2 linked regions of the Lonchura striata genome follow. The protein of the gene in region 2 binds, or shares a complex with, the protein of the main gene of each other region. Links are inferred from orthologs where the notes say so. Each region holds a gene or a part of one and is shown on either strand. Other genes may lie near its edges. The genes, in order: UPF1 and UPF2.

Region 1 (15,201 bases), on a different chromosome or scaffold from region 2:
AAACTGGGAGAAGCATCAAACAGGAGCAGATTCCTGCTGCGAGTCACAAATATTTTAGAACTCCCCATCACTGGGGTGGCTGAGCCTGGGATTTATCCCCAGGGAGCTCCGAGCTGGCCAAACGTGGACGTGGCAGCTCCAAACCTGCTCCAGAACTCCAGGAGCAGCTCCCAAAATCCCTCTCCCTCCTGGAAGCCGGACCTGCAGGCGTGCACAGGGAGATCCTTGGTGTAGTAAGTGTCCTCCTCATCCTCCTCGAAGTTGAGCTCTGCCAGGAGCTGGCTGGTCTTGGCCACGTTCTCATCCACGGCTCCGTTCTGCAGGATCCCATCAGGACCATTCACCTGGAACGGGGGTGCACACCCAAAATGAGCCCCAAAATCTTGTGTGGCACCGAAAAACCTCCTCAGAAACTGCTGCCAAGAGCATCATACACGGCCATTATACAACCACGATTTGCTTCATCAGCTCCTGCTCTCCAGGACTATTTCAACTCCAGCTGATAAGTTGGAATAAAGTTTCCAGGAGGAGATTGCTTTCCTGCACATTGCATTTTTCCATGCAATCCCACAATCGATACTTGCTCCAACTGATAAGCAGGAAAACAAGGAGATTGTTTTTCTGCACTCACATTTTCCCACAACCTTACAGAACAAAATTCCATTTCAACAATTCCAGCAGTTGTTTTCTCACCCTTCTTTTTATTCCTGGGATCTACCTGGGAACAGGAATTTCCCCCACCTCTTCCTGTATCCACCATGGACTGCCAGAACCATGGAATTCTGCAACATTTGGTGCTGTCTCAGCAACTTTCCCACCCCCAGCCTTTCTCCTGACAAAAATAACTCCATTTTTTGGCACTTTTACCACCAGGAGGTGGTGGATATCACGCTGGGATTTTGGCAGGACCACTGCAGGTGCTGCCCCTTGGGCTTCCCACGTGTCCTGGTTTAATTTCTCCAGCCCTGAGGGGCTTCAGCACCCCAATACTGAGCTGGGAAAGAGCCCAAAATGTGGTTTATTCTCTGTCTTCTTTAGCCAAGATCCCACCAAAAGCTGAACAGGGATAAGTTTATCTTAATCCACATTAATTTTGAGTGGAAAATGTGGGAAAGGGGCCACCAAAGTGGCTGGAATATTCGAAACACATCTGACGGGAGTGCTGGGGTCATTTCCCTATCAAAGGAATAATTACCCCCCCCCCCAATATTAGTAAAGTTAAGATTTATTTATAAATATTAACCAGCCAAATAGGACAAAAATCACTCATGGCCTTTGTCTCTGATATAATATTTGAACAACTTAGATTTAATGCAATTTAACTGGGAGGTGCAACTTAATTCTGCCAGGGAGAACACAAAACCTTTAGCAAAAGAAATCAAAAAATAAATTAAAAAGTTGCCCTCTTCATGCTGTAATGAAGCAAACTCAGCTTATTTCTCATTTAGAGAGATCCACATTAAAAATTTAACAGCCAATTGCAAGAATTAAAGGCCAAAGCCAATTTCCCACTTGTCCTGGGCCACCAGCTCTGTTTCCAGTTCTGCAAATGAAATGAGGAGCATTTAAATACAATCAATAAATGGGCTGACTTCTATTGGTGTTATCTCCAAGCTCTGCCTTTAATAGAAAGGATCAGCCCAGAGGAACCAAGAGTGCAAAAGGGAAGCTGGAAAAAGGAATCCAGCCCCACGGCAGGAGCAGCAATATCAGCGGGGTGAGGGCAGATCCCATCAGCTGCCTGGGGAACAGACTGCACAGATAAATATCCACTTCAGATCACTGCCAGCAGAGAAATACCCACTTCAAATATCCAATTCCACTTGACAGAGCCATTGTACAAAAGGTAAATAAGGCCTGATCCGGCACAGGTGGGATTCCAAAGCCTGGGGTTTATCTGAACTCCTTACAAGCATTCCCAGGCATTTCTACCCAACAATGCATTACTTGAAGGTTGGTTGATTTTAATACATTTTCTGAGTGCTCATAAAAAACCGCCCTCCTGTTTTTTTAAAAAAAGCAGTAAAGTTTGGGCTCGGTTTGGGATTTTTTAAGGCAGAAAAGGAAGAAATGTCAAGGGCAGGAGTGGCTGTGCTGTCCCAGCCCTCGGGGAGGCAGCGGTGATGTCACCTGTGCTGTGCAGCCCCAGCCCTTGGCAGGCTGTGGATGAGGAAGTGATTGTTGCAAACCCTCCTGTGATGTCAGCCCGTGTGCACTGGATTAAAAACCTGGCACGGGCAGCTGTGGTGGCAGGGGGGCCACTGCTGTGCTGGGAAAAATGTTGGCTGCAACTTCTGGCACGGCGAGTTTGGCAGCTCCGGGCTGAGCGCTGAGAGGTGCCACAAAACTACTCCCAAAAACTGCCCGGCCTGCCTCGCTCCTCTGCTGGCCTCCAAAACATTCCCTGGGACACAAAGCAAGGGCCAGGGACCGAGCTGAGGGGCAGAAAGCAGCGGGGATGGGGAAGCTGTGCCTGCTCCATCCCTGGATGGGGCTTGGAGCAGCCCGGGACAGCGGGAGGTGGCCCTGCAGGGCTGGGGTGGCACTGAAGGTCCTTCCAAGCACTCTGGGAGTCCCTGGTTCCATGAACGAGGTGACACCATGGCATGAAGATGTCACCAGGAGGTCCCTGAGGGATCCAGGAGAGCTGGAGAGGGACTGGGGACGAGGGATGGAGGAACAGGACACGGGGATGGGGGGATATGGGGAAGGGATCGTTCCCTGTGGGGATTGGAGGTCGGGCTGGAGGAGGGAAGCTCCAGGGACACCTTGGAGCCACTTCCAGAGCCTGAAGGGGCTCCAGAAGAGCTGGAGAGGGATTTGGGACAAGGACTAGAATCCCAGCACAGGGAATGGCTTCAAAGTGGGAAGGGGAATCTGGGTGGGATATTGGGAAGGAATATCCCACCTCCAGGCTGGGATGGAATTCCCAGAGAAGCCGTGGCTGCCCCTGGAAGTGCCCAAGGAGGTTTGGAGCACCCTGGGACACTGGAAGGTGTCCCTCCCTCTAGGACCTTTAAGATTGAAGGTGGGATGGAATTCCCAGAGAAGCTGTGACCATCCCTGGAAGTGCCCAAGGGGGTTTGGAGCACCCTGGGACACTGGAAGGTGTCCCTCCCTCTGGGACCTTTAAGATTGAAGGTGGGATGGAATTCCCAAGAATCTGTGACCATCCCTGGAAGTGCCCAAGGGGTTTGGAGCACCCTGGGACACTGGAAGGTGTCCCTCCCTCTAGGACCTTTAAGATTGAAGGTGGGATGGAATTCCCAGAGAAGCCGTGGCTGCCCCTGGAAGTGCCCAAGGAGGTTTGGAGCACCCTGGGACACTGGAAGGTGTCCCTCCCTCTGGGACCTTTAAGATTGAAGGTGGGATGGAATTCCCAGAGGAGCTGTGACCATCCCTGGAAGTGCCCAAGGGGGTTTGGAGCACCCTGGGACACTGGAAGGTGTCCCTCCCTCTGGGACCTTTAAGATTGAAGGTTTTCCAACCCAAATCGTGCCGGGATTCTGGAATCCTGCAGGCTGTGAGTCCCGGATCAGTGCTGACAGAATATTCCCCTCTCACTCCTGCTCCCAGCTCCCACACCCAGCCGGGCCAGCAGCAGAGCCCCAGGTGAGCACACCTGCAGCCTCCTCACCCAGCTCTGCTTGCAAGTGCTGCATTTCAAGCTGCAACAAGAGCTGTAATTGCACTTTAACTCCAGCAGGTATTCTGCCAGAGAAGTCCTGCGAGAGGCTTCAGCACCAGCCTGCTGACAGAGTCACCCCCAGCTCAGGGGATCCCCCAAACCCCACAATTCTGGGGTGGGGTGGCAAAGGTGTGTGACTTTCCCCTCGGGGCTCTGCTGGGACTGCGGGGTGAGGGAGATTCGCTTTTTTCGCGTTCCCTTTCCCGAGGAGGAAGCCGAGGAAAGCCTCGCCCCTGGGAGGGAGCAGCGAGGGCTGGTGTGGCCCGGACAGAACAGCCTTTGTTAGCAGAGCAACGAAAGGAAAGCCAGCCCCGGCGTGCTGAGCCACCCGGGAGCCCGGCTCGCCCACACCGAGCTCCCAGCAGCGAGAATTCCACAGAATTCCCGGCTGCTCTGGGCTGGGAAGGGACCCCAAAGCCCGGCCAGGGCACCTTCCTCGCTCCCACGGTGCTCCTTGGGCAGCTCGGCGATCCACAGCTGCTCTGGTTTAAATTCCTCTGAAAACACTTCCGAAAATTCTTATGTTGATTTAATTCTAGCAAACAATGGGAATAGAATTTTCTGTAGAAAATGTTTGTGCTCTACTCCTACTTTCGACCATTGGCCGCTAATCAAGTGTAACACTATTAATTAAATATATTGGGAAAGGAAGTTTTTCCCTAAAAAATGAAGTGCCCTGCATGGCTCAACTCATCTTTTTAAAAAGACCCCAGAAACAGCAGAGCAAAAGTTTCCACCTCCAATATTCCTCAGCTCCAAATACAATTATTTACTTAATTAGCTTTAATTATAATCACAGGGCTAATATTTCATTAAGCAAAACCTGATCAATTGGAGAAGTCATTATTTAAGATGCCTCCTGCCAAAAAGAATAACAAACTTCAATCATCTAGCGAGGGCAGCAAAACTTCTGCCCAGAAGTTTTAAAAAACCCCAGATTTTGTGATTTTATCAGCCCTGAGCCCATTGAGAGGGGCAGGTCTGAGCAGATCCTGGGCTTTGTTTTACTTCACCCAGGAGGAAACGGGGCCTGCTCCTCCTCTGAGAGTCCCTCCCCAAAAATGACATTTCTAACATCAAAATGAGCAGCAGGATGACCGCAAAAGTTTGCAGAAACTCAAAACCACCCTGAGTTTTTAAAAAAATCAACCCAAAATCCCTTCCTTTTAGCCAGGAGACAAAACCAGTACCTGAAGGTGCTCTCCAGAGATTTTTTTTTTTTTACTTTGACCTCAAAGGTTTTTCAAACATGTTTAGACAAAAAAAAAGGCCAATTAATTATCCTCTTGCCTGGACTTTCAGCTTATGAGGCTGATTTTGGGGTGGTTTTTCTTCTCCTTGGCCACAAATTCCCTACTGGGAGCTCTGGAGTGATCACAACCCATTAAAGGTTTAAAATTAAATGTGATTAAAATTCTCTTTTAATGTACACAGAGATTTTACTGCTGGCAGAAAATAATTCTGATCTCTCAATGCCCAAAAACTGGATCAATTCTACCAAATCCAAGAGCTGCAAATGAACAGAAAATAACCCAAGAGCTCTGACTCACAGTGACCTGAGCACACCCCTGCAGTCACCGAGCACTTTCAGGCAGAAAAACTGATTTAATTTGTGCTGGGATAAACCCCCAGCACAGGAGAAAGCCTCGCTCAGCCCTGCCCTGCACACCTGTGGAGCTGGATGTGCTCCCTGCTCCCATTCTGCTGCACTCACACACCCACCTGGGGCAGCTCCTGCAAGGAAAAGGACAAAAACCAGGCCCAGGATGTTTGGTTTGGGCATAAAAAACTCACCTAAAACTCTCAATTCCTTTTTACACTCATCCCTTAACACGTGGGTGATGTACAAGCATGTAATGGTTAATAATGGGATTTCTGTGAGGGACCTGAATATTCCACGATCTTCAAACTGGAGAAAAGTGTGGCTTTTTTAGAAATACCGGAGAGTTCTTTGGAGTTTTTGTTGTTTACTACGGGCACACTGAGATTGTTATCTTCATTTGCTGCACTTCTTGTCAGCTGCAATCCTAATTCCTCCCCTGCCTACGAGTTGTGAATTGCTAAATAAATACAATTTCATTCTCTTCTAGGCATCAACTGCAATAATAAAAAAAAACAAAACAAAATAAAACTAAAACCTGTTGTTAAACCACTAAGAACCAGAGCTCAGAACTTGTCCCTACCACACAATCCCCAAACAAACCCAACAGCTGCGTAGCGACAAAGTGGAAACTGAAATTTTAAAAAAAAAAAAAAAAATCAACATTCACAGTAATAACAAGCAGAAATTCAAGCGTTATTTTAGCGAGGGGAAGTAAAGAAGAAGCAAAGAATTTCGTCAGCGCCCAACTTTGGATAACAAACACCAGCGAAAGCTGATTGTTTTAAGGAGAAAGAACCCGAATTTCACCCCGCCTCGGTGGTTTTTTCTTTCCCTCCTCCCCATCGCAACGCCACAACTATCGCGACTCGGCCGCAAGTTTCCTGCCGGCACCAATCCCGGTGGAATCCCGGTGCAATCCCGGCGCAATCCCGGCGCAATCCCGGCTCCCGGGGCCGGGCTCCCCCCGGGGCACCGACCCCCGCTCCTCCGCCGCTCACCTGCGCTTCCAGCGGGCCCGGCGCTCCCTGCCCCGCGCCGGGGGCGCCCTGGCCCTGCGCCGGCCCCGCCTGGCCCGGCCCGGGCGGGGTCTGCGTCTGGCTGGGGAGGGTGAAGTCGGTGAACTCGAACTCGGAGCCCTGCGTGTCGGCGCCGAGCAGCTCGGCCTCCTCGGTGTCCAGGAAGGTGAGGGTCTGCGAGCTGGGGCCGTACGCCTCCACGCTCATGGCGGCGTTCTGCTGCGGGCCGGGAGGATCCGTCCTCCCCACCCTCACCCCGCCCCCGCCGCGGCAGCCGCGGGCTTCCCCCTCAGCGAGCCCGGGCGGCCGCGCTACGCGAGCGGCGGGATGCGCCGCGCGCACCAGGCCGCGCGCCCCAACCCACACGCACAAACGAACCCGCCGCCGCCGCCGGCTCGCCGGGCGGCCCCGGAGCTAACGGGCGGGAGAAGGGAGCGGAGCGGGCCCGGGAGTGCGGCCGGGCTCGGTCGCTCGGTCGGTCGGTCGGTCGGTCGGTCCGTGCGGCCGCGGCCGCCGCGCGCCAGGCCCGTGAGCGGTGACGCGGAGCGCGCGCGCGCGCGGGGGGGCGGGGGGGGGAGGACGCGCCGGCGGCAGCGCGCGCGCGCGCGGGGGGGGTGGGGGGCGTGACGCACGCGCAGCACGCACCGGGGAGGGGAGGCGCGGCGCGGCGCGGCCGCCAGGGGGCGCGCTGCGCGCCCACGCAGCCCGCACGGGGAGGGGGCGGGGCTTGGCGCTGAGTGACGGGTGTGGCGGCCAATGGGATGGTGAGGTGAGAGGGAGGGCGGGAGGGAGCGGCGCGCGGAGGGAAGGGGCGGGGTTTGGCGGTGAGTGACGGGTGCGGCGGCCAATGGGAGATCGAGATGAGGGGCGGGGGCTGAGGGGGTGGAGAGGTCACTGTGAGGGGATGGGGTGGCTGGGCACCCGTGAGGGGTCACTGTGAGAGGATGGAGTGGCACTGGGCACTTGTGAGGGGTCACTGAGGGGATGGACAGGTCACTCTGAGGGGATGGGGTGGCACTGGGCACTTGTGAGGGGTCACTGAGGGGATGGACAGGTCACTCTGAGGGGATGGACAAGTCACTGTGAGGGGATGGACAGGTCACTGTGAGGGGATGGAGTGGCACTGGGCACTCGTGAGGGGTCACTCTGAGGGGATGGACAGGTCACTGTGAGGGGATGGACAGGTCACTGTGAGGAGATGGGGTGGCACTGGGCACTCGTGAGGGGTCACTGTGAGGGGATGGGGTGGCACTGGGCACCCGTGAGGGGTCACTGAGGGGATGGACAGGTCACTGAGGGGATGGGGTGGTCACTCTGAGGGGATGGGGTGGCTGGGCACTCGTGAGGGGTCACTGAGGGGATGGACAGGTCACTGTGAGGGGATGGGGTGGCACTGGGCATTCCTGAGGGGTCACTGAGTGGATGGACAGGTCACTCTGAGGGGATGGACAGGTCACTGTGAGGGGATGGGGTGGTCACTCTGAGGGGATGGGGTGACACTGGGCACTCGTGAGGGGTCACTGTGAGGGGATGGGGTGGCTGGGCACTCGTGAGGGGTCACTGTGAGAGGATGGAGTGGCACTGGGCACTCCTGAGGGGTCACTGTGAGGGGATGGGGTGGTCACTCTGAGGGGATGGGGTGGCACTGGGCACTCGTGAGGGGTCACTGAGGGGATGGACAGGTCACTGTGAGGGGATGGACAGGTCACTGTGAGGAGATGGGGTGACACTGGGCGCTCGTGAGGGGTCACTGAGGGGATGAGGTGGCACTGGGCGCTCGTGAGGGGTCACTGAGGGGATGGGGTGGCACTGGGCGCTCGTGAGCTGTCACTCTGAGGGGACGTGGTGACACAGGGCACTCTGAGGCCACGGGGACACTGTGGTGACAATGGGGTCACCTGTGCCCACCATAAGCTGCCAGCTCTGCCTGTTCCCTTGGAGCTGGCGGGAGGGACACGGGGTTAAGTGGGAATTAAGGAGCGGGAATTACATTAATTCCTGCTCCAGCTGTAATTCCTGTCCCACCTGTAATACCCCACAGCTCTGAGTGAAGGCTGAGCTGCTCTGGGCGTGCTGCACTGGGCATTCTCTGAGCTCAGGGCCGTGCAGAGAACATTTCTACCTTGAAATAAACCAAAAACTTAGAATTTACCCTCATTCCATTCGATCAGAACACAATAAATCCCTTCTTAGTGTTGGGAAAGGCTGGATATTCAGTGCCTTTTCCCGTCCACATTGAGATGCAAATATGTATCTTCTCTTATAAATAACTTGGATTTTATATTCTTGCTTTTGGTGTAGGATAAAGCCCAGCCTGAAACAACATGTACCAGATCTGCGGCTGCTGGGCTGAAAAGATGGAGATTGGAAAACATCCTTGTCCTGGGAATATTGTGCAGCAAAAGGATGGGAAAAAACCAAATCCAGGGAGCACAGGAGTCTCCACTTCTGCAGAGAGACTGAGTTCAACTTCCTTTGAAGCAGAATAAACTGTTCAGACCAAAGCATAACGGGGAGAAGCATAAAATAACATTTGAAGATGAAAGTGGAGCCGGAGCGGGGGGAAAAAATTATAGTACAAAGCCAGGTGGCTGCTTGCTGCAAACACTTTTATTTATTAATAAACACACCTCACTCCTAACGTTTGGCTGCTTGACAGAATCCTCAGAAGTCTTGGAAAGGGATCAAAGTTGTGCTCTCCCTGTGCCTGCAGAGCTCTTTAGGGACAGGCTGGAAATTCCCTCTGTGGGTTTGTCCCCCGAGGGTGGCCCTGGGGACACTCCGGGGCTGCTGTCTGAGGTGCTGAAGCTGCAGATCCCCCAGCACTGGAAAAGCAGCTGGAAAACCAAACTGGTTTAAACTGGAGGGTGAAATTCTCTTTATAGCAAGGCAGAGCAGAGGCACGTGGATTTTGGGATGGCTCTGCTTCATCGCAGCGCTGGAAGCTCTGGGGGCCGCTTTGAAGCTTTTCAGGATAAAATGGATGCACAGCCAGACTGCAGAGCTGCCAGGCTGCATTTTCTGTATTTTTTTTTTTTTTTTTTGGGTGTTTTGTGCAAGTTTTCTGCCTCAACCCCGGGCTGCTGCAGAGGAGAGGCTGTGACTCACTGGGCTTGACTGCTGTGCTGCCAGTATGGAATTTAAACGGGCACAAACTGGCACAACTCCCTGCAAACGCTGCTGAGTTTCCCGTCGCCCTGCAGATCAGAAGCTGGGATTCACAAGGAGATAAAAACGTGAGTGAATTCATATTTTAAGAGATGCTTTCTGCTCGCAGGAGGTGCAGAGGGGATTATGCCGAGGTGCTGATGAGGAGTGACAAACCCAAGCAGCTGGAGGTGCTGGAGAGAAATCCCAGCCCTGGAAATAAGGAGAGGCCTTTCCTTGAACCTGGTTTGAATTCCAGAGCCCAGCAGCTCTGGGATTTGCTGGCATCCTCCTCCTCCTCCTCCTCCTCCTCCTCTCGGGGCTGTGAGGGGAAGGCAGGGATGGGATTGGTCTCCAGGAATTCCCAGCCATGGAGATAAGGCTGGAAGAGCTCTGTGACGTGAGGGGGGCACAGCCAATGGAGCCCAGGCTGGCCAAAACGGGGGAAAAGTGGGATATTTTTATCCTGGCATGGAACAATTCGGGTTAGGGGGAGTGAGGGTGGAGCAGGGAGCAGGTGGGGAGGGAGGAGCTCAGGGGAGCTCCCACCCAGAGCAATAAATGCACCCAGGGTGTTGATGAAGGGCAATAAATGCACCCAGGGTATTGATGAAGGACAATAAATGCACCCAGGGTGTTCCTTAAGGACAATAAATGCACCCAGGGTGTTCTTTAAGGACAATAAATGCACCCAGGATGTTCCTTAAGGACAATAAATGCACCCAGGGTGTTCTTTAAGGACAATAAATGCACCCAGGGTGTTGATGAAGGACAATAAATGCACCCAGGGTGTTCTTTAAGGACAATAAATGCACCCAGGATGTTCCTTAAGGACAATAAATGCACCCAGGGTGTTCTTCAAGGACAATAAATACACCCAGGGTGTTCTTTAAGGACAATAAATGCACCCAGGGTGTTGATGAAGCAATTTTATCGCTTTATCTCCTCCCTGCTCTGTTCACATAATTTTATTTAGTGCTCAGGGAGCTCAGAGGGTTTAAAAATCACAGAATTCCAGGATGGTTTGGGGTGGAAGGACTTTAAATCCCATCAATTCCCACGGGCAGGGACACCTCCCACTATCCCAGGTTGTTCCAACCCCATCCAAGCTGTCCTTGGGATGGAGAATCCACACCAATCTCTTCCAGTGCCTTCCATAATAAAGAATTTCATCCAAACGCTCAATTTTCTTCATTTCCTGTCTCTGTGTTCTGCCTTTTTTCTTCCCTTTTTACTTAAAACAAATCCTAAATGAAAATACCTTAATTTTTTACTTATTTTACCACACCTGAATACCAATAAATGAAAGAATAACAAAAAAATCTGTTTTTTAAAAAAATTAAAATATTCTCAATGCTGACAAAATTACAGTAAAGTAATAATTATTCTTTTTCTAAAGGGTTAAATCCATAGGGAAAAAAATTGGGAATGAGTTTTTCCAGTGCCATTTCTCCTGAGTTACCACGAGAGGGACACAGAAGGAAAGCAAAAGGAGCTGGGGAAGAAAGAATCCAAGGACCAGCTCGAGGTGGGATCATAGCAACACATTTCCCTTTTGTTTGGGAATTTCTGGGATCACAGCATTCCTACAAATCCCATAAAATCCTCCAAAATCCCTAAAATCCTAAATTCATCCCATTAAACCTTAAAAAATCTTCACAGATAATGGGCTGAGAAACCTGAATAGTTAAAATAGTTTTTTTCCCCCCCCACAGATTTTCCTCATTTCCCATCAGCTTTTTCCCTTTGGAATGTCAGCACAGGGAGAGGTTGGGCTGGCTGGGATTTTGTTCCATCCTGGAGCAACAAATCCCACAGGATTTTGTGGGTTTGGGGAGGTATTTTTGTTTATTCCCACTGATTTTTTGTTTATGGAGGCTGGGGAGGTATTTCTGTTTATTCCCAGGGAATTTTCACTAATTAACAGCTGATGATGCAAATGCCAGGAAATCCCAGATCCATAAAATTCCTGCATGGAACAAAGGCCCCATGAAAGCCCCTGAAGTAAATATTGAATATTTCGTGGGCTCTTGTGGAGTTAAAGATCCCAGTCCTGAAATGGACTGGAATCCATTGGAATTAATGCAGAGTGGATTTTTAGGGACTCATCCTTAATGGCAGCAAAGCTTCACTTCCAGCCCTGGCTGGGCAGGCTGGGATTGGGATAAAAACGCTGGAAAAAAGGAAAATGGGAGGAAAAATCCCTTATTTTTTAAGAATTATAACTTTATGGACTTCAGTCTTGCATTTTACAATGTGACAACATTTTAATATCACACTAAAAGGCCCATTGAGTGCTGGGACCCTGAGTGGTCATTTAAAAATATTTATACTTTTATATATTTAATAACTATTTCTATTAATATTATATAATATTGTATCTCTATATTTTATAATTTTATACTCATATTTGTATATTATTGTATATACCTAATTTTATATTTATTTATATAACTTAATGTTTTAATATTTATTTTTGTATTTTTACCCGTTAATACCCAGAATGCTTTCACAAGCTAAGAACATCTCCAAAAAGTGTTATTAAATAAGTGTAAGAATGTCTTTAATTTACCAGAAACTTTAGTACAACAGGAAATGCAAATCCAGCTCTGATTTCAGCGGGGAAGATTTGCAGAAAAGGGTTTTTCCTCATGATTGTTTTTTTTGTTTTTCAGCAAATTGTGATAAATCTGATTAATTCTGCTTTATCTGCAGGTTTAATTGGGGATACACAAATATTCCCAGAACAAGTCACAGGGATGTAACTCCATGAGGGAAAAGGAGGAGAAGATTTTAGCCAAAATCCAAGGATTTTGAATGAAGAAAGTTCTCAGAAATTAAGGATGGTGAGTGACATTAAAAGATAGCAGATAATAAAAGCTAACAGATAATAAAAGATAAATAATAAAAAATAACAGCAGGAGATGAAAAGGAAATGAAATTTGGTGCTCTAAACCAGCTCCAAATGGATGCTATATATAAATAAATAAGTAAACTCCAATAAATTAGGGTTGAATATTAAAATAAGAATTAAAAATACTGAGTTTCAGTGGGAAACTTGAAATCCTTCTCTCCAAAATCGTGTTAAAATTCCCTTCCCTTGAAAAGGTCTGAAACAACAGGACAGGACCTGGATTGGAGGAATTAATGTAGGGAAAAAAGCTTTTTATGGACAGAACTTGTGCCTTTTTTAGGTTTTTAGCTGCAGAATCACCATGTGAAGTTAAAACTCACCAAGAAAAAGCCAAGAGTTCCTAAAATCCAAGGGAAAAAATGCTGGAATTCCTGAATTTATTCAAGGAGATCTTTGGGAGGATCTGTTCCCTATTAAAGCTGCCTCTGGAAGGAGCAGAATTGTTAAAAATCCTCAATTTCCAAAGGGGCATAGACAGCTCTTGGGGGAATAAAATGTAAAAAAAATTAAAAAAAGGGATTTCTCCAAAGCAGATGTTGTTGGAGCTGAGCTTAAAAACAAAATGTGGAGCTCTTGATGGGCTCCAAAATGTCCCTGTTTGTTGGGATTGCTGGCAGCCTTCCTGGGCAGATGGAGGTGATTGTGGAGTAATGGAAAATCCAGGCTCCCACAGGCTGGGATGTGTGTGTGGGGCTGCTGAGCCTCCCCAGAAAGAGAGGAAAATGGGGGATTTCCAGGTTATCCCCTGGAAATTTGGGATTGGGTGCACTTTCAGCAGGTTTCGGATGTGGTGATAGCTGACTTCTCCTCAGATTTCGTGCTGATGCAGGTTTTTAATTCTGGGGCGGGCAGAACGCTCAGGGTTAAACCTGAGGTTGGGTTTGCATCTTCAAAGCACAAAAAAAAATCACTTCAAAATCAGGAATTTTGGAGTCCCACCCTGGCTTTTTCTGTGCTTTCAGTGTAAGGGAATAACATATTTACATTCTCTGCATAGAAAATAAATCCTCCCAAGGAAATCCTTCTTTCCTGCTGTGGAGAAATCTTAATTTGGCTCTTAATGTAAGGAATCAATAATTGGGATTTGGCTGAGTGTCCACGGTGTGTTTGGCCACACCAGGACTTCCAGGAGGGCTCCAGGATTAAACACCCTCATCCAAAAATGCTCTGAAACTGGAAAATTTAATTTTCTGGCCTCCGTCCCTGAAGAATTTTCCTTTTCAGTCCCTTTTGATGTTAAATTTGCCCAGCTTGGCCTTATCTTCTCCTTGCAAATAGTCCAAATTTGAAAAAGAAGGAATGTAAAGTCATTTCTGCTTCCACACCTGTAGGAAAAACTGGTGATATTTCATCAAGTGTACGTTTCTTTTTCATTTTTGCTGAACAAAAATCAAGCAGAATTGAGGGACCCCAAAAGGGTTGGGTGTCGCAGTTGTTTTGCCACCGTGGAAGGCCTTTCCAAGGAGCTGTTTGTCGTGTCTGGGGGGGCGGTTTTAGGAAGGGGAAGGAATGTTTTCCTTGCAGAATTCTGTGGATTTCTGGAGGAACCCAGCCAGGGCTGCCCTCAGGCCGTGAATGGTCTCAGTGTAGTTCTGTGAGGCCTTCCCAGAAGTCAGGAGCTGCTTGGAAATGAACCCAGGAATGCCATCAAACAGCCTGGGACGAGATCAAGGCGGCTGTGGGCTCCCAGGCTGCCCCACATCCCCCAGGGGGAACATTCCCACCCCAGAGGGCACCGACACCCCAAAACAGAGGGACCCTTGAACTCTGGATCCGTGCTGGGAGGTTTCCCCTCGTCCCACCGATGCTCAGGGCTCTTCCAGCTGCTCCCTTTGCCAAGGATGCTGGCTCGTCCCTTTTCCACGTGCTCCCACAGCCTGGGGAGGATCCTGCCCCCAGCCCGGCGGCGCTGGGCGCTGGCTGCGCCTCAGGATCGTGCTGGAAACACCTCAGCAGCTGCTCCGTGCAAGGAGGCAGCGTTCCCACCGGGAAGGGCGGCCAGCTGGACAGGGAATAACGCTGCAAAGGCCGTGGAAATTCGGGGAGAAGGACTTCTGCCATGCTGGTCCCTTCAGAATCACCAGCAGAGCCATTCCAGAGCCTGCCACAGGTGCTCCGGTGGACGTGTGGCCTGGTGGAGCTGCTGGATTCGGAGCAGGGCCTGTGGCAGCACAGCAAACCCATGGAGGAGTCTGGAAACTCTGAACTGGGCCGCTTCTGCTAAAAACGGCACCGCTGGCCTTGATTTATGAGCAAACAGAAGGCTGCAAACGGCCTCGGGAGCCTGGCCCAGAAATCCATCAGCCTGATGTCATGTGGAGAGGGCCCAGAACACAGAATTATTTTTATGGAGTTGTTAGCAAGTGTTATTAAAAATTTGAAAAGTTCAATTGGATTTTTTTTTTTTTTGGCTATAGGATGAGGGCAGAGCAGAAGTCCTGGGATGGATGTGGACAAGACATTCCAGTTCTAGGCCACCCTTCCTGGCTCCAGATGAGAACACGGCTTTGCTGGAAGAGGGGATTGCAAAAGGGGATGTGAGGGAGGTCTGGAGAGCAATAATTTTAAACAGCACTTCAGCCATGATGTCATTTCAGCTGAAAAATAATGTTCGAGTTTGGGCAAACAGAGCCCGGGGCCAGCAGCCAGGGTGGGGAGAAACTGCAGCAAAATGGAAAGTCCAAAGCGTGGAAGGTCATGGTGGAAAACCAAATCAGAATAACCCTGAAGAAAAGTGGCTAAAAACCCTGGAATTTTCTGTGAGCATGAAGATTCCAAGGAAATGGAGGGGAGGAAGATGTTCAAACCCTGGACAGGGTTTTCACTCCTCTTG
Region 2 (14,734 bases):
TTGCCTGATGGCGCTCCCAAGCCTCCTGATGGAGCTGATGTGCTTCCTCCTTCTCCCTGTGCGACATAAGAATTACTCATTTTTGTTATGGAGCCTTAATCTCAGAGTATCAGGACAGAGGAGAAAAGGTCACAGTTGGAAAACCTTCAGGAGTTTTAACACCATTTCACCTCTCTTCTTTAATATCTACTAAGCTAATCCTAGAAAGCTAAAGCATCTGCTTCAGAAGCTCGGCTTAATTTTTGTGTTGCAAAGGGCAAGGACTACTTGTTACAAAATTTCTCAAATATTTCTACACAGAACATACTAATCCCAACAGACTTTGAAAATATAAACATGAAACTCCATTTACTACAGATGAAGATGAAATTCTCACAGAAGAGGAAACAACCTTTCAACAGGTTACTGTATCACACATTTATTTTTATTGCCAGACTAATGAAATTACACAGAAAATTTGGAATATGTGAAATATATCTGTTCCAGCTAGAATCTGGCTATGACATTGCCTCAATCTTAAAAGGTAAATATTTCAGACCTATAAAGATTCCACATTCAACACTGTACTACGGTTGGATAACATAATAAGAAACATGGTCTTGGTAATATCACATATTAAACTTCCAGGTTACATTCTGAGTTTGCCATCCAAGTATCAGTTGTCTATGACTGAGTAAATGTAATTTATCACATCAGATTTGCTCCTGTTATGTATGATCTGTAGACCTGTTAAGTCTGTATTCCCAATTTTTGGACAATAACACTTCATCTTAAATGCATCTGTGCTTCTCTATTCTGGTTTGGGCTGGGACAGAATTAATTTTCTTCAGAGTACCCTGTATGGGGCTGTGTTTTGGATTTGTGCTGGAATCAGTGTTGATAACACAGGGATGTTTTCACTACCGCTGGGATGGGCTTACACACAGTCAAAGCCTTTTCTGCTCCACACCCCACCCCACCAAGGAGGAGTCTTGCTTTGGTTTGCTTGCCTGCACAGCTTCTGCTTTACCCATTTAACTGTCTTTATGTCAACCCACAGGATTTCTCATTTTTACTCTTCTGATTCTTTTCCCCATCCTTTTGAGGGGAGGGAGTGGCTGTGTGGGGCTGATGCCAACTGGGGTTAAATCACAACATTTACTCAAGCACAGCTGTGCTCTCCATGGTCATCATATGCAGAACACTAACAAACCCCCATAGCAGAGACCAAACTAACAGAAGTTACAAGTGAAAACTCAAAACCTCTTAGAAGTCATAAAGCACAGTCAGACAGGCACATAAAATTGGTAACACTACATGCAACTTATTAAAAGAAACTCCAACACTTCATCTTTTATAACTCTGACCACAATCCTGATAACAGAACTCTAACATTTGATACAGTTAAACCTTTAAAAGATAACTTACTTCAGTTGAGCAGCTTCTTCTTCTTGTTTCTTTTTTTCTTCCTCCTCTTGTTTCTTTTTCTCCTCTTCTTCAAGTTTCTTTTTTTCTTCTTCTTCTTTCTTCTTTTGCTCTTCTTCTGCCTTTACTTTATCCTCTTCTTTTTTCTTCCGCTCTTTGTCTTCCTTCTTTCTTTTATCCTCTTCCATTTTTTTCTTTTTATCTTCAGGAACCTTTAAAGTCTCTCTCTTCATGCCAACCTTCACATCTTCTTTTGGCTTCTCCCTGGTGCTCACTGGTCGCCTTTCACTAAATTCTTTTTCTTTATTATTTAACTGAGATTCTTTTTCTTCCATATTTGCTGGCTTTTTGCGCTCAGCTGGCATTGTGTTATCCAGGCAAACCTGCAGAACCACAGGAAAACAAATACTTTAAAATTGCTGTTGATATTTTAGTCATTTTTCATAGCCCACCCATATTCACTTAACTCACAAATGCATGACTCATCAGGATAAAGGTTTATGTTTTCTTCAACTAAGGAAGGGACCTGACAAGTAAAAACAAATCATTTTGTAAACATGTTATTCTGCAAAGCTGTCTCCAGCATGAATTGTGAAATAAAAGCCTCTTGAAGTTTCTACTACCCAAGGAATGTAAGATCTTGAACATAAGTAAGTTCATCTGAAAGAAAAATAATTCAAGACTGATGAAAACAAAGTACTCCAAACTTAAAAGTAAGTACATGCTTGATACATCACTATGCATCTGCACCTCATTGACCCTTCTATATATCTCCTAAGAATGCCCCCGCTTCCACTACCACTACTTGGGATCATAGGATAATGCAGGTTAGATTAGACCTCATGTAATTCATCCTCCTGCTCAAAGCAGTTCCAGTCTTGAAAAGTGTCAAAGAAAAGTGGCACAGAAACTCCACAACTCCTCTGGCCAATCTGCTCCAATGCAGGTTATCCTCACTGTGATCCTCATTGCAGATTATCCTCCCTGTGAAAAGGCATCAACTTGCTTCCTTCTTTCCTCACCCCTCCCCAGATTTCCCCAGCATCTCCAGCACTCAGCACAAGTAGCAGCTGAAGAGCGAGCAGTGCTGACAAAGCTGGATGCACAAACCTCCCTCCCAGCAGAGCAAACGGAAATATCAGAAAGGCTGCAATTATCAAGACTTATCAAAGACTACAATTTCTCTCTCCTTCTACTCAACCAACATTTTTGTAGGAGCTTTAGCATCTTTGGGGTTTCCAGCCCTCCAAGCTTTGATTTCATCTGGCTAAAGACACAAAATGTAACACATATTGAACACAAAACGGTAAAAACACAGGGCAATTTTGATTAGGAGGAAACTATCATGAGCACCTATTTCGGGCCCCTGCTCCAAGCAGATCAGAGGCTTAGCTAAGGCTTTAGTATCTCCAGGAACAGAGAAGCAGTGGTCCCCTCTGGACACACAGAGAAAAAGCTTTTCCTAATACCAACCTGGAAATTACCATGCCCCATACTGTGTTTGTTTCTTTTCATCCTATCCCTGCACAGCTTGGAGAAGCCAGCTTCATCTTCACAATACTCTCCCATCAGGCTGTTTTAAGACAGTTGTAAGATTTACCCCTCACTTCTTACAGATCAAGAAGCCAATTCTCTCTGATTCTCTTCAGCTCATGTCCTCCAGCCTCCCTATGTTTTTGGTTATCTTCCAAGAGACTTATTTCAGTGTGTCAGTGCCTTTCTTGGGAACAGAGAACCCACACCTGCATGTGGTAAGTACTGAGCAGAGGGAGAAGACTCACCTTCAGCCTCCTGGTTAACTCCTGGTACTACAGCCTAGAATGCAAGGGCATTCTGCTGACTCATGTAAGGGTCAGGTGGGCCAGGCAGGACCACAAGAGGCAATTACAACCACCCAGGCTTTTACTTCAGGCTAAATTAAATTCTTAACACAAAAGATAATTTTCACATACTAACATGCTTCAAGTGAAGAGCCATCACTTTGTTTTTATTAATAACACCAGTTTGATTGCCAATGGCCACCCCTACTTTTGCCTTTCTAACATTTTACTCTGGATTATGAAAAGATCCTAGATTCACCAATTCCCTACATCTACTCAGAGTGGATAATGAGACACCTGCATTCCAATCTAATGCAGAGTGTTCCTGGTATTAATTTTAACTATTTTGAAATATGTTTATAAATAAAACTTCACAATAAAGAATATATGTTTCTTAATAAGCATGACACATTCCCTCTGCCATCTCCCAAACAATAAAATGACATATTTATATGCTGTCTATCCTACCCAGATGAAACTGTATTACAATATTTAAGGTGCTCATCCGGAGCTTCTGAAGAAAAACTGGATTGCAAAAATTTACAGTACCAGTACTCACACCTGGGCAGTGACAACTTACCAGTTGGTAAAGAACCTATTCATGACTTGGCCTCTGGCAGCAACTGGCAACAGCATCAAAGGGGAAATGTCTCTAACACTGACTTATGGAAATCAAATCAGCATTGTTTAAACAAGCAGGAGCACATTTGGCTCCCTAATGCATGTCTACAACTATAAAATTTCAGAACTACTTGAATTCCAAAACCACCGATCTTAAAACAGTATTATTATGAAATCAGTACTTAACCAAAGAGGGAAGGGGTTGCCTATGTTTAAAGAAATGCTGGAACAGCATGTCACAATTCCAATACTCTGAACAAAATATCTAGCCAGCTGCACAATTAACTTTTAACAACAGGGTCATTTACCACAATCATTATGGTGCTTGAGCTCATACCAAATTTAGGAACTCTGTTTTAAAGATGTATCTGATGTTTGCTTGTATAAAACCAAACCAGAGAAGATGGGATAAAAAGAAAAGGAATGGAGCATAACTGACCACATGGCAGTATTATCCAATTTTTCCCAGTGAACACTGGAGTCCCAAAACCCCCAAAAATCTCGTTTTACAGTAGGATTCTGTTCTGTGCCCCAGAACAGGTATGTTGCAATACTTCTCACTACGTGTACAGCTCCTTATCTCCCAAACCTTTCCGATTGCTCTGCCAGCTCGTTCGTGCCGACACCAAACCCCGAGGGCAGCGGGAGGCGGTGCTGCCGCTGCCTCCAAGCTACGCCCGCGCTGACCCAGCGCGGAGCCGCAGCCAGGCGGGGCTACAGCGGGCAGAGCTCCCGTGACAGGCAGACAGAACTGTCCAAAGGCAACTTTCCCTGAAGTTGTGGGAGCGGGGAAAACGGAAACAGACAGCTGGCTCACCTGGGCCTCATCTCCATAGAAAACAAAGCTGAAGATGGCATGGAAACATGAAGATAAACTTTATTCTATTTAATATTTCACATTTATATTAATGTACTGATGAAAAGGCATAATAATGACATGAACTCCATAAGCCAACAGACAGGACAAACCAACACTCACACCAGAAAATTAGGAAGGACAGAGAAAACAGAGACAAGACAAACATCCCTATGCCTTTAGACTCTTGGCAGCCCATTTCTGTAGTGATACTTACATGTTTTAACACCCCTTCTCAGTTTCAGGATCTACAGACAACATGTTTTTAGAGGGAACTATTTTTCTTAATTTTTCAATATTTGACATACAGTGACTCATTTGTAATTAAGTCAATTTTTATTGTACTTAAGTTTCTAAATTTTTTAAACAATTATCTTGGAATTTGAAAGAATGGGACTGGGTTCATGATACTCTGAGCTCATAGACTTATGAAGTAGTTTTGAAATACAGAAGTAACATTTCAGAAAAACCATCTACGTTATTTACTCATGAGGAAAGCAGAGAGTAACATATGGTGTTCAGCATCACAAATCCACTCACAATTCAGAATAAAACAATAAACATCAGCACCTTGGCCCTCAAAGCAATATCCTTAAATCAATAAAAACAGTCTACTCTCAAAGCCTGTAGTAACATGATCCAGAATCCCCATCCTTGCAAACACAAGTATGAAGAAAGGAAATACAGTTCTATTAAACTAAACACAATGAAATTTTTCACTAGACATTAAATGGATTATATAAACAGTCCTTTCTGCAGCTAATCTATTACAGAAGAGATATGGGAGATAACGAATGTAGGCAAGATGTCCTACCTCTGACTGGCTGAAAAGTCTCAAAGAGCAACAAACTCCTCCATCACTAGTTATCACACCACTAGAATTCTGCAAGTTTCAAAAACTAAAATGCAATTAAGGTTCTCTTAATGCAAGGGAAGGTGCATAAGAGAAACATGAAGGTCAGCGAGGAGAAAATAAACTTACAGGTTTTGGAAAATGAGACACAGTACACAGAAAAAAAAAAATGTAGTGCAGAGAGAGAGGAGCCCCCCACACAGTGGCAGGGAAGGATCACAGAATCACAGAAAATCCTGACTTGGAAAGGTCCTTTAAGGATCATCAAAGTCCAACTCCTGTCCCTGCACAGGACACCCCAAGAGTCACACCATGTACCTGAGAACATTGTCCAAACACTTCTGGAGTCCTGGCAGGCCCGGTGCTGTGACCACTGCCCTGGGGAGCCTGTCCCAGTACCCAAGCACCCTCTGGGTGAAGAATCTTTTCCTGGTATCCCACCTAAACCTTCCCTGACACAACTTCAGGCCACTGACACATCTTCTGGCCGACCTGCCGAACAGCCGGGCACTTTTACTTTCGCTTCTATACCTCTCGGGGAAAATGTTTTGCTGCTAAACTTGCAGGAAAGTGCTTTCCACCGTGAAACAGCGGCCTATAGACAAGGCACTAAGTATAAAAAGACTTCTTCGCTACCACCCCAATCCCCGCTGGCAGCTGTCCCGCAGCCCGGGCCCTTTCCCGGATGGGACCAGCAGCTCGGCAACTGCAGCTTCCGGTGCTCTCCCGGCCTGCCTCTCCCAGCGCTCTCAGGCACCGCCACCCGAGCCTTCCCTGCTCCGAGCCCCGCGGCCCCTCCGCCTCCGGAACTCCCCGTGCCCCCGCCAGGCCCCTGTGCCCTCCTCTCCCCGTGCCCGAGTCCCCGTGCCCGCACACGGCCCGGCACCGCCCTGCCGCCCGGTCGGTGCCGCGGTACCTGTGCCCGGTGCCGACATGGGCCCGCCCGGCGCCGCCGCCGCCTCCTCCTCCCCTCCGAGGCCCCCGAGCGCTTCTCCCCTCACGGCGGCCGGGCCGCCGCCGCGCTGCCTGACCCACGGCGCTGCCCCGACCGAGCTCGCCGCGCCCGCCCCGCCACGCCCGGGCGCGGAGGGAGGAGCGGCGCCGCTTGACGGCGGCAGAGCTGCGGCTGCGGGCGGCGCGGAGCGGCGCTTCCCGAGGGGCGGCGGTTAGGCAGCGCGGCGGGCAGCCCGGCCGGGGTCCTGCCGGCGGGCTGGTACCGGGGGTGCGGAGGCGGAAGGGGAAGAGGAATGGGAATGGGAATGGGAATGGGAATGGGAACGGGAATGGGAACGGACGAGGGAAAGGATTCGGCCCCGCGTCCCTCAGAGCGGCGGGGGAGGGGGAAATAGCTGCTGAATGTCGCTTCCCTGGTGGCCTCAGAGCACCGCTCGGCTCATGGAGCCGCATGACGTCACTGCGGTGACGTGTCTGTGCCCGCCAGGCGTCACGGCAGCTGTCATGTCGCGGGTGGGGCCCTCAGGTGTCGCCGTGATAAAACATTGCGGTGACGGTGTCTGAACAACAAATTACTGCCTCAGGGGTGCTTTCGTGGGTGTCCATTGCTGTGCCCGGTTCTGGGCTCCTCAGCACAAGGGAGACAAGGGGCTGCTGCAGAGGAGCCACAGGGATGAGGAGGCCTCTGGAGCATCTCTCCTCTGGGAGCTGGACCTCTTCAGTCTGGAGAAGAGAAGACTGAGAGGGCATTTCATGAATGCAAGCAGATATCTCCGAGGCAGGTGCCAAGAGAGTGGTGCCAGGCTCAGTGGTGCTGAGTGACAGAGCAATGGTCATAAAATATAACATAAGAGATTTCACCTCAAATGAGGAAAGCACTGGGAGAGGCTGCTCTCGGATTCTCCCTCTGGAGACATTCATAACCCACCTGGTCCCTGTGTCACCTGCCCAGGTGACCCTGCCTTGGCAGGGGGATTGGACTGGATGATCTCCAGAGGTCCCTTCCAAACCCACTCATTCTGTGATTCTGTCATTGGGTGTGTTTTCTAGTCTAAATTTGGTCTCTCTGCCCTCTTGTCCAGTCACAGTTCCCACCTGGACATCTGAGGATATTTTACAGTGGTGAGTTTAGTGGCACAAAGCTCCTGGATTTGTTGGAAATGTTCTCTGCCTGCAGTTCTAGGCAAGGCATTACCTCTTGGGCAACTCAAAAGCTGGCACAGCTCAGAGCTGCAGAGTGAGAATCTGGTGTTTATTTTACATTTTGAATCCAGATTCTGATAGAAGCTTTTATGTTGGGAAAACCTTTACAGCCCTCTGGGCTTAGAACAAGCCTTCAGCAATATTGGACACTGACAGCAGGCACAGGCCTGGTTGTACATAACAAGGTTATTCAGCTGTTAAAGTTGCTTTTTATCCAGAGGCAAGAGACTGTTTACTGATGCAGAGCTTTAGGTGTGTTCTGCCAAAGCTGCTACAGGACTAGACAGGTTTTTGTTTTTTGTTTTTTGTTTTTTGTTTTTTTTTTCCATAGGAGAGCTTTCCTCTCTGCTGTTTAACGTCATTGCACATTTTACAGACATGTCTAAAAACCTCTTTCTGGACAAGTTTGAAAGGAGTTGTGCTTGTTACTGGTACAGATCATTCACATGTCCCTGCTCACAAAGATCTCATTTGCTTGCCAAAATAACTTAAACTACCAAATTGATTAAACTGATTCACTGGAGTGGAGAAGATCCATGGCAGAACATGGCAAAAAGGGGGAGAGGAAATCCATGTTAGTGTTGGTACTTTATTTTCTAAAGGCACCATCCTTTGGCCTGTCAATGAGTACCTCAATGATTCTTTTTAGGGGGAATTGGGTTATACTTGGCTTATCAGTGGCATTGGCATTACAACAAGAGATGCTGGCTTGTTTTCTTCTGAAGCACGATGTTGCTACCCTTTCCAACATGAATAAAAAGCGCAATCACTATGGTTTTGAAAGGGAATCAAAATCTCCTTCTGTGTTTATACCACACTCCCACACCTACAATTATGTTGGAGCTCTTTCTTGTAAGGGCCACGCAAGCAAACTTCAGCAAACTTTTCCTCCTAAATGACCTGTTTCATTTGTGCACATGCTAATCAAGCTTTTGTACTGATTTACCAAAATCAAAAGCAGGTAGTTGTTGTTCCCTGAATCTCAGACATAAAGCATCTCTCTTTTTATTTCTTGAAGCTCTTCCTCCCAAATTTTTTTATATGTTTCCTCAATTACTGGCACCAAACTTGCACACAGTATTCAAATTGTGCCAAATACTGGCCAAATGTAGAATCTGTAGGTGTCCTCTATATTTCCTTGCAGCCAAATCCAGCAAATTATCTTCCTTTCTGAATTAGTAGATATCCACATAATTTTTTTAGACCCACCTGCTTTTTTCTCATTATTTTTGGAGGTTATTTATAGCCCCTGTTTCCTGGAAATGAGCTACATTTTAGTGCACATACTCTTTCAATGAGTGCAAGCTTTCACCTCATCCTGTTAAAATAAATTGTGTTTGCTTATCTCCATCTTGACTCTCAGACTGAAGGTAACCTCTCCTCACCACTTATCTCCAGCTGACAAACTTCATCAGCACTCAAGGTGTGGGCAGCTTTTTTGGGTTGATCTAACTACTGAAGTGGCAAGGAGGGTAATTCCTTTAACAATATTCCCAGTGCTCAGCCAGACATTTACTATTTAGTGTGTATAGCCTTGGTTTTGGACGTTTCTAGTATTTTTTAGTGAGAGCATCATGTAGTTCTAAATCAGCCTCACACAGGAGCCTTCTCTAGGACAGGCTTTGTGCCAGAAGAGCCAGGCTGGGAGAGTCACTTTGCCTACGCCCTCAGCAGTGGTGTTTCTCCTGGCACAGGTACCACTTTCTCATGTTTAGACATGAATCAAAGTCAACAAAGCCATTCCTTGACTTAGATATAGCTATAGCAATGTTTTTGTCACGTGTAATCATGTCCTACACAAGATGATTATGCTGGAAAATCTGTGAAATCTTTATTAACTGGATTTTGATTCACATAAAAACCCTAACAAGTTGACTTGATGAGATATATATTTCATAAACACATGCTTAGATTTTATTAAACTTTTATTAAGTGAACTTATATATACAAATATTCTCTGAGAATATATAATTAGTTCTCTGAGATCCAGAGAACACATCTCTGAGTGTGTCTGAAACATCTCTCTAGAGAAACTGGAAAATTTTTATTGTTCAAGCCTATTCGTATCAGTGCTAATTGGGAAATATTCAACTAACTGCCTATATGATTGAAAGCAAAACCACATTGATATCTGCTGTTTGACTGGTATTTGCTTAAGAACTATGGAAAAGCATTTCATCATCCTGTAATCTGCCTGCAACATTTGTCTTTTTCCCCAAGCACAAAATGGAAATTTTTAACTACGTCAATGTTTTCTCCCTCTCCACTGTCAGCTTCAAAAAAATCACATCATCTTGCAGCATTATTTTTAAGGTTCCTTCACTCTAATTGAAAAAAATATTAATATCCTCAGCTACATTTTTACCACCTTCACTGAATGGGCCACATGTCCACTGTCCTTCTGTTGCTGTATCCTTTTGCCCTCCTTGCAGCATTAAAAGTAATTTATTTTTATATTTTTCTCCCATATTGGGTTTTATAAATATGCATAAACCCAACCATACAGGCCTCAAGGAACACAAGTGGCCCCTCTGCAAGAACTGTGAATATAAAATCCCAGACCAACTGGGGTGTCAGAACTGATTCAGTTCTGAAATCCAGTTCCACCTGTTCCAAAGGCAAATGCCATAGTTTGATTTGGACAAAAAAAATACTCTTTGATTTCCTCATGGTGGAGGCTACAGGAGCATAACCAAGCCTAAGGACAGGAAACCTGCCAGTACCCCAGACCTGCATTCACACAAAGTTTACAGGATCACAGAAAAGTTGAGATTGGAAGGGACATTGAAAGATCATCTTATGCCGCCCTCTGCCACAGGCAGGAACACTTCTCATTATTCCAGACTGATCAGAGCTCCATCCAACCTGTCCTTGGACACATCCACAGGTAGGGCATCTACAACTTCCCTGTGCAACCTGTTCTGGTACCTTACCCTGCTCACAGCAAAGAACATCCTCCTAATACCTAATCTAAACCTACACTCTCCTGGTTTGAAGCCATTCCACCTTATCCTCTCACTACATGTTCTTCTAAAAAATCCATCTCCATCTTTTCTTGCAGACTCCCTTCAGGTACTAGAAGGCTGTAATTAAGTCACAAGGAAACCTTCTCTTCTGCAGGCTGAACAATCCCAATTCTCTCAGCCTTTCCTCATAGGAATGGTGCCCCACCTCTCTAATCATCTTGGTGGCCTCCTCTGGATTTGCTCCAACAGGGCCATGTCCCAGAGCTGGATGCAGCGCTGCAGGTGGGGTCTCACCAGTGTAAGAGCTGGAAGGGATCTCTGGAGATCATCCAGTCCAACCCCCCTGCCAAGGCAGGGTTACCTGGAGCAGGTGACACAGGAACACATCCAGGTGGGTTGTGAATGTCTGCACAGAGGGAGACTCCACATCCCTGAGCAGTCTGTCCCAGTGCTCTGCCACTCTCAATGAAAACTTCTTCATGTTAAGGTGGACTTCTTGGGTTTTATTTTACTGCCATTGCTCCTAGTCCTGTTGCTGGGCACTACTGAAAAGAGTCTGGCACCAAATTCTTGGCACCCACCTTTGAGACATTTATATGCATTCATGAAACGCCCTCTCAGTCTTCTCCAGACTAAACATGCCCAGCTCCCACAGTCTCTCCTCACAGGAGAGATGCTCCGGAGGCTCCGCTGGACCCTCCGCAGCAGCTCCTTGTCTCCCTTGTGCTGGGCACAGCACCCCAAAAGGCCTCGCTGGAGCCCAGACCATCGTGCGCCGCTCGTTCCGCTCGGCAGGGCAGGAGCCGCCGGGCGCCCCCGCTGCGGGCGCCGCCCCCGGGGCCCGGGGCGGGGGCAGCGCGGCCATGGCCATGGCGGGCGCGGCGGGGGCTCGGGCCGTGCGCTGCGCGCTCTGCCGGGCCGGCCCGAGCCGCTGGTACCGCACCGAGCGCGGCGTCTACGGCTACAGACCGCGGCAGGCGGCGGGCGGGCGGGCGGAGGAGCCACGCGGCGCCGGCGGAGCAGGTCGGACACCGCGGGGCCGCGCCGGGGCTGCCCCGAGCGGGGCCCGGGCGCTCTCAGGTGTTGCTTGTGTTGTTCCCGCGGGGCAGAGCGCGGAGCAGACCCGCTCCGAGAGCTCTTGGCTGTGGGTCCTGCGAGCCTGGGGTGCGTGGCCCCGCTCCACGGGCTGAAGCGGCTGTGAGAGCACCGGCTGCTGAAGTTTGCTCAGCGAGGGGCTCTCGGAGAGTTCTGCTGCTCGTAGAAGCACCTCTGCCACGCGCCTTTTATACCGTGGGGCTTGAACTAACCCAATTGAAGTGGTGAGACACTGAACGGCTTGTCCAGGGAGGCTGTGGATGCCCCAACCCTGACGGTGTTCAAAGCCAAATGGGATAAAACTTTGTGGGAGGTGTCCCTGCCCACGGCAGGGTGTTGGAACGGGATGATCTCTAAGGTCCCATCCAACCCCTTAACATTACAGGATTTCATTATTAAATACAGGTAACTCTCTCCTGTAGCAATCCTGTGTTGCTTTTAGCTCCATTTTACAGTACAGAAAGGTGATTTCAAGCAGTAAACTCTTCTAGATAGGAGTTTGGTGCTTACATTAACTTTACTCTGGTGACCCTGGTAGGATTTAAAGCCTTTGCCCAGAGCAGGAGTGAAATTAGTCTCATCCTGGACACTGAGACCCGTCACAAAGTAGCCTCCTTGTTAATGATTAACATATTTTTATGTAACATTTTAAAAATTGCATTTAAACGGCCTCCTTGCTGAGAGCATTGTGGGCACTGTTAGCCTTATGTCTGGGTTATGTCCCTGTGTTGTAGATCCCAGTAGAGAAAAGGGGCTGTTTTGAATGGGCTGACCAGTGTCAGAGAAATAAGCTTGTGCTATGGTCTGAGAATTTCATTGTTTTGGAAAACAAAAGCCTTCAGACTTGACTACTGTCAGTGCTACGTTTTTACCAGGATGAAAAACCCCTCCACATTATGAATGCTTTATAAGCTGGTTCATGACATTAATTTGTAGCAAGTTGTGCTTGCAGTATGTGTTATGGTTTGCAGTCTATCAGCCTGGTCTGTGTTTGTGCTCAGTAACATGTGTGTGACCTCTCAGCTGGTCAAATTCTACCCATGTCGATAATTTTTACCACATTTGGCTCTGCACATGCTCTTGGCTCCTGCAGACAGACTTTGGTTTTTTTGAAGTCATGGGACCTGAATTATTGTTAAGACCCAATCCTGTCATTCCAGCAAGGAACAAGGAAGCATAAGTGATAGGATTGAGTTGGCTTAGGAAATAAGACTATACACTGGTAATGTGCTGAGCTTGACTTGAACATACCTGTTTGTAGTGGTTTTGGTTTACAACAGTGCTACTGTTGTAAAGAGATTCAAAGCAAAATAAAGTAGCTTTCCATATGTTTACAGGAACCTAACCTATGCTGTGGGGGAAATCTAGAGTGTACTTTCTTGAAAATTGTATGGAGAAGCAGATTTAGCAGTTTGCTGATGGGAGCTGTTGTAGGGTAATAAGACAGAAATAACTGCATGGAAAAGCTCTCTTTCCAGCCAGAACCTTGATGGTTGCCAGCTGACAAAACATTCCTGTGTTGATGCTGTAAGTAGATTTAATCTGAGCACATGTGTGATGCTGTTCTGCTTTCTTTTTGGTTTTAGTTGACCATGCTCTTGTTCGTTTAATAACTGCCTATGCTGAACATGGCCACAAAGCTGCCAAAATAAACCCACTGTTTGCTGGCCGAGCTGTTATGAACATGGTACCTGAAATCCAAGAGCTGGCTGAAGTTCTTCAGGGTCCTCTCGTTACTACAGGTGAGTCCACAGCCTTATCGCAGCAAATTCTGTTCATGGGTGATTTGTTGAGGGGCTGTGGCCTCTGTGGAATAGTCAGATATTGAGAGGTGGCTCAATTAGTGATGAAAACTGTTGAACAGAACTTCAGCATAGTCTGTTGCAGAAACCATAGTGCAGTGAGAGGCTGCCTTCTAGCATCTTTGGAAATCATGAAAATTTATGCTTGTTCTTACAGCTACTGAGGTTAAACATTAATTTATTGTGTTACTGTACTATTCTATGATTTATCACAATACTTAATGCTGTAGTGAAGGTTTGAAAGTACAGTGGCAGAAGTAAAGATTTGTCTTTTCTTGTCTCTCTTAGAGCCTTGCTGCAGCCTTAAACAAAGGAGGGTGGTCTTTCTCATTGCTTTATTTTCTCCAAAACAGGCCTTAGTGCTTCCTCTCCTCCCCCAAAGTGACTAATAGCATTTATTTCCCACCAGGACTTATAAACATGGGAAAAGAGGAGGCTTCTGTAAAGGATGTGATGGCTTATCTTGACCATATATACTGCGGGCATATTTCCATAGAAACAAGCCAGCTTCCAACTTTGGAGGAGAGAGAATGGTTTGCTAAAAGGTTTGAAGAGCTAAAGCAAGAAGCATTTACACCTGAAGAGAAAAAGCACTTGTGCAAACTGATGCTAGAGTCCCAGGTACTTTGTTCCCTGTTACTGGATTGTAATAGTCGTGGAATCTGTCATGGATCCTTTACTATTCTGGACATGATTAATGCAAAAAAAGAACAATCACTGTCCTGAAAGGCTTTGACAGTGTGCAGGAGGAAGAAGTACAAGGTTTTGCCTGAAGCAGTGCGAGACAGGAATCTCATTGGAGTTTGTTGCTGAATTAATTTACCAGCCATTACTGAAATAATGATGCTGTAAACCCATGAATAATCAGTCTTCAAAAGTAAGGTACTCTTAGATTAATGATCTGACAGCTCATATTAAATGTTACTAATGGGACCATTAGTTACATTAGGTTGAGCAGAGCTCTGTGAAATCTTGTGCTCTGGCTTAGTTATTCTGTATTTTCCTCTCACCATTACAGTTATCTGTTTTACTGTCCTTAAAGTATGCTGTCACCCAAGGTTTTGGAAGAATAAATCAGAGTTGATGCAGACATCAACTAGATAGTTGATGCTATCATATAGCACTGGCACACATGGAGCTTTTCAGCAAGGAACCCTTGT

Evidence for each region.
Region 1: the proteins of UPF2 (region 2) and UPF1 are in contact, whole or in part, in a crystal structure (PDB 2WJV), measured with the Homo sapiens proteins. The link is inferred for Lonchura striata from reciprocal best matches to the Homo sapiens genes UPF2 and UPF1. Residues at the interface, in NP_056357.1 of Homo sapiens: Val1105, Cys1107, Glu1109, Asp1110, Phe1113, Ile1114, Ala1116, Leu1117, Met1120, Met1121, Asn1124, Leu1125, Arg1128, Met1169, Pro1170, Phe1171, Val1172, Met1173, Leu1174, Thr1175, Gln1181, Lys1184, Leu1186, Asn1187, Val1188, Pro1189, Ser1192, Gln1193, Leu1194, Asn1197; in NP_001284478.1 of Homo sapiens: Asn150, Thr151, Ser152, Gly153, Val157, Asn158, Leu160, Val161, Arg162, Lys164, Lys166, Pro175, Leu176, Gly177, Thr179, Tyr184, Cys188, Asn190, Val191, Phe192, Leu193, Phe196, Pro198, Asp202, Ser203, Val204, Val205, Val206, Leu207, Cys209.

Annotation. Positions count from the first base shown.
Region 1 is NC_134630.1:7,311,644-7,326,844, reverse strand, and holds the start of UPF1 (regulator of nonsense transcripts 1), read right to left. Parts: upstream 6,586-15,201; 5' UTR 6,515-6,585; coding exon 6,290-6,514; intron 345-6,289; coding exon 202-344; intron 1-201. UniProt on the Homo sapiens protein: RNA-dependent helicase required for nonsense-mediated decay (NMD) of aberrant mRNAs containing premature stop codons and modulates the expression level of normal mRNAs.
Region 2 is NC_134607.1:67,038,993-67,053,726, reverse strand, and holds the start of UPF2 (regulator of nonsense transcripts 2), read right to left. Parts: upstream 6,601-14,734; 5' UTR 6,471-6,600; intron 1,788-6,470; 5' UTR 1,770-1,787; coding exon 1,408-1,769; intron 57-1,407; coding exon 1-56. Other genes in the region: DHTKD1 (2-oxoadipate dehydrogenase complex component E1), read left to right, coding at 11,541-11,700, 13,359-13,514, 13,984-14,195. UniProt on the Homo sapiens protein: Involved in nonsense-mediated decay (NMD) of mRNAs containing premature stop codons by associating with the nuclear exon junction complex (EJC).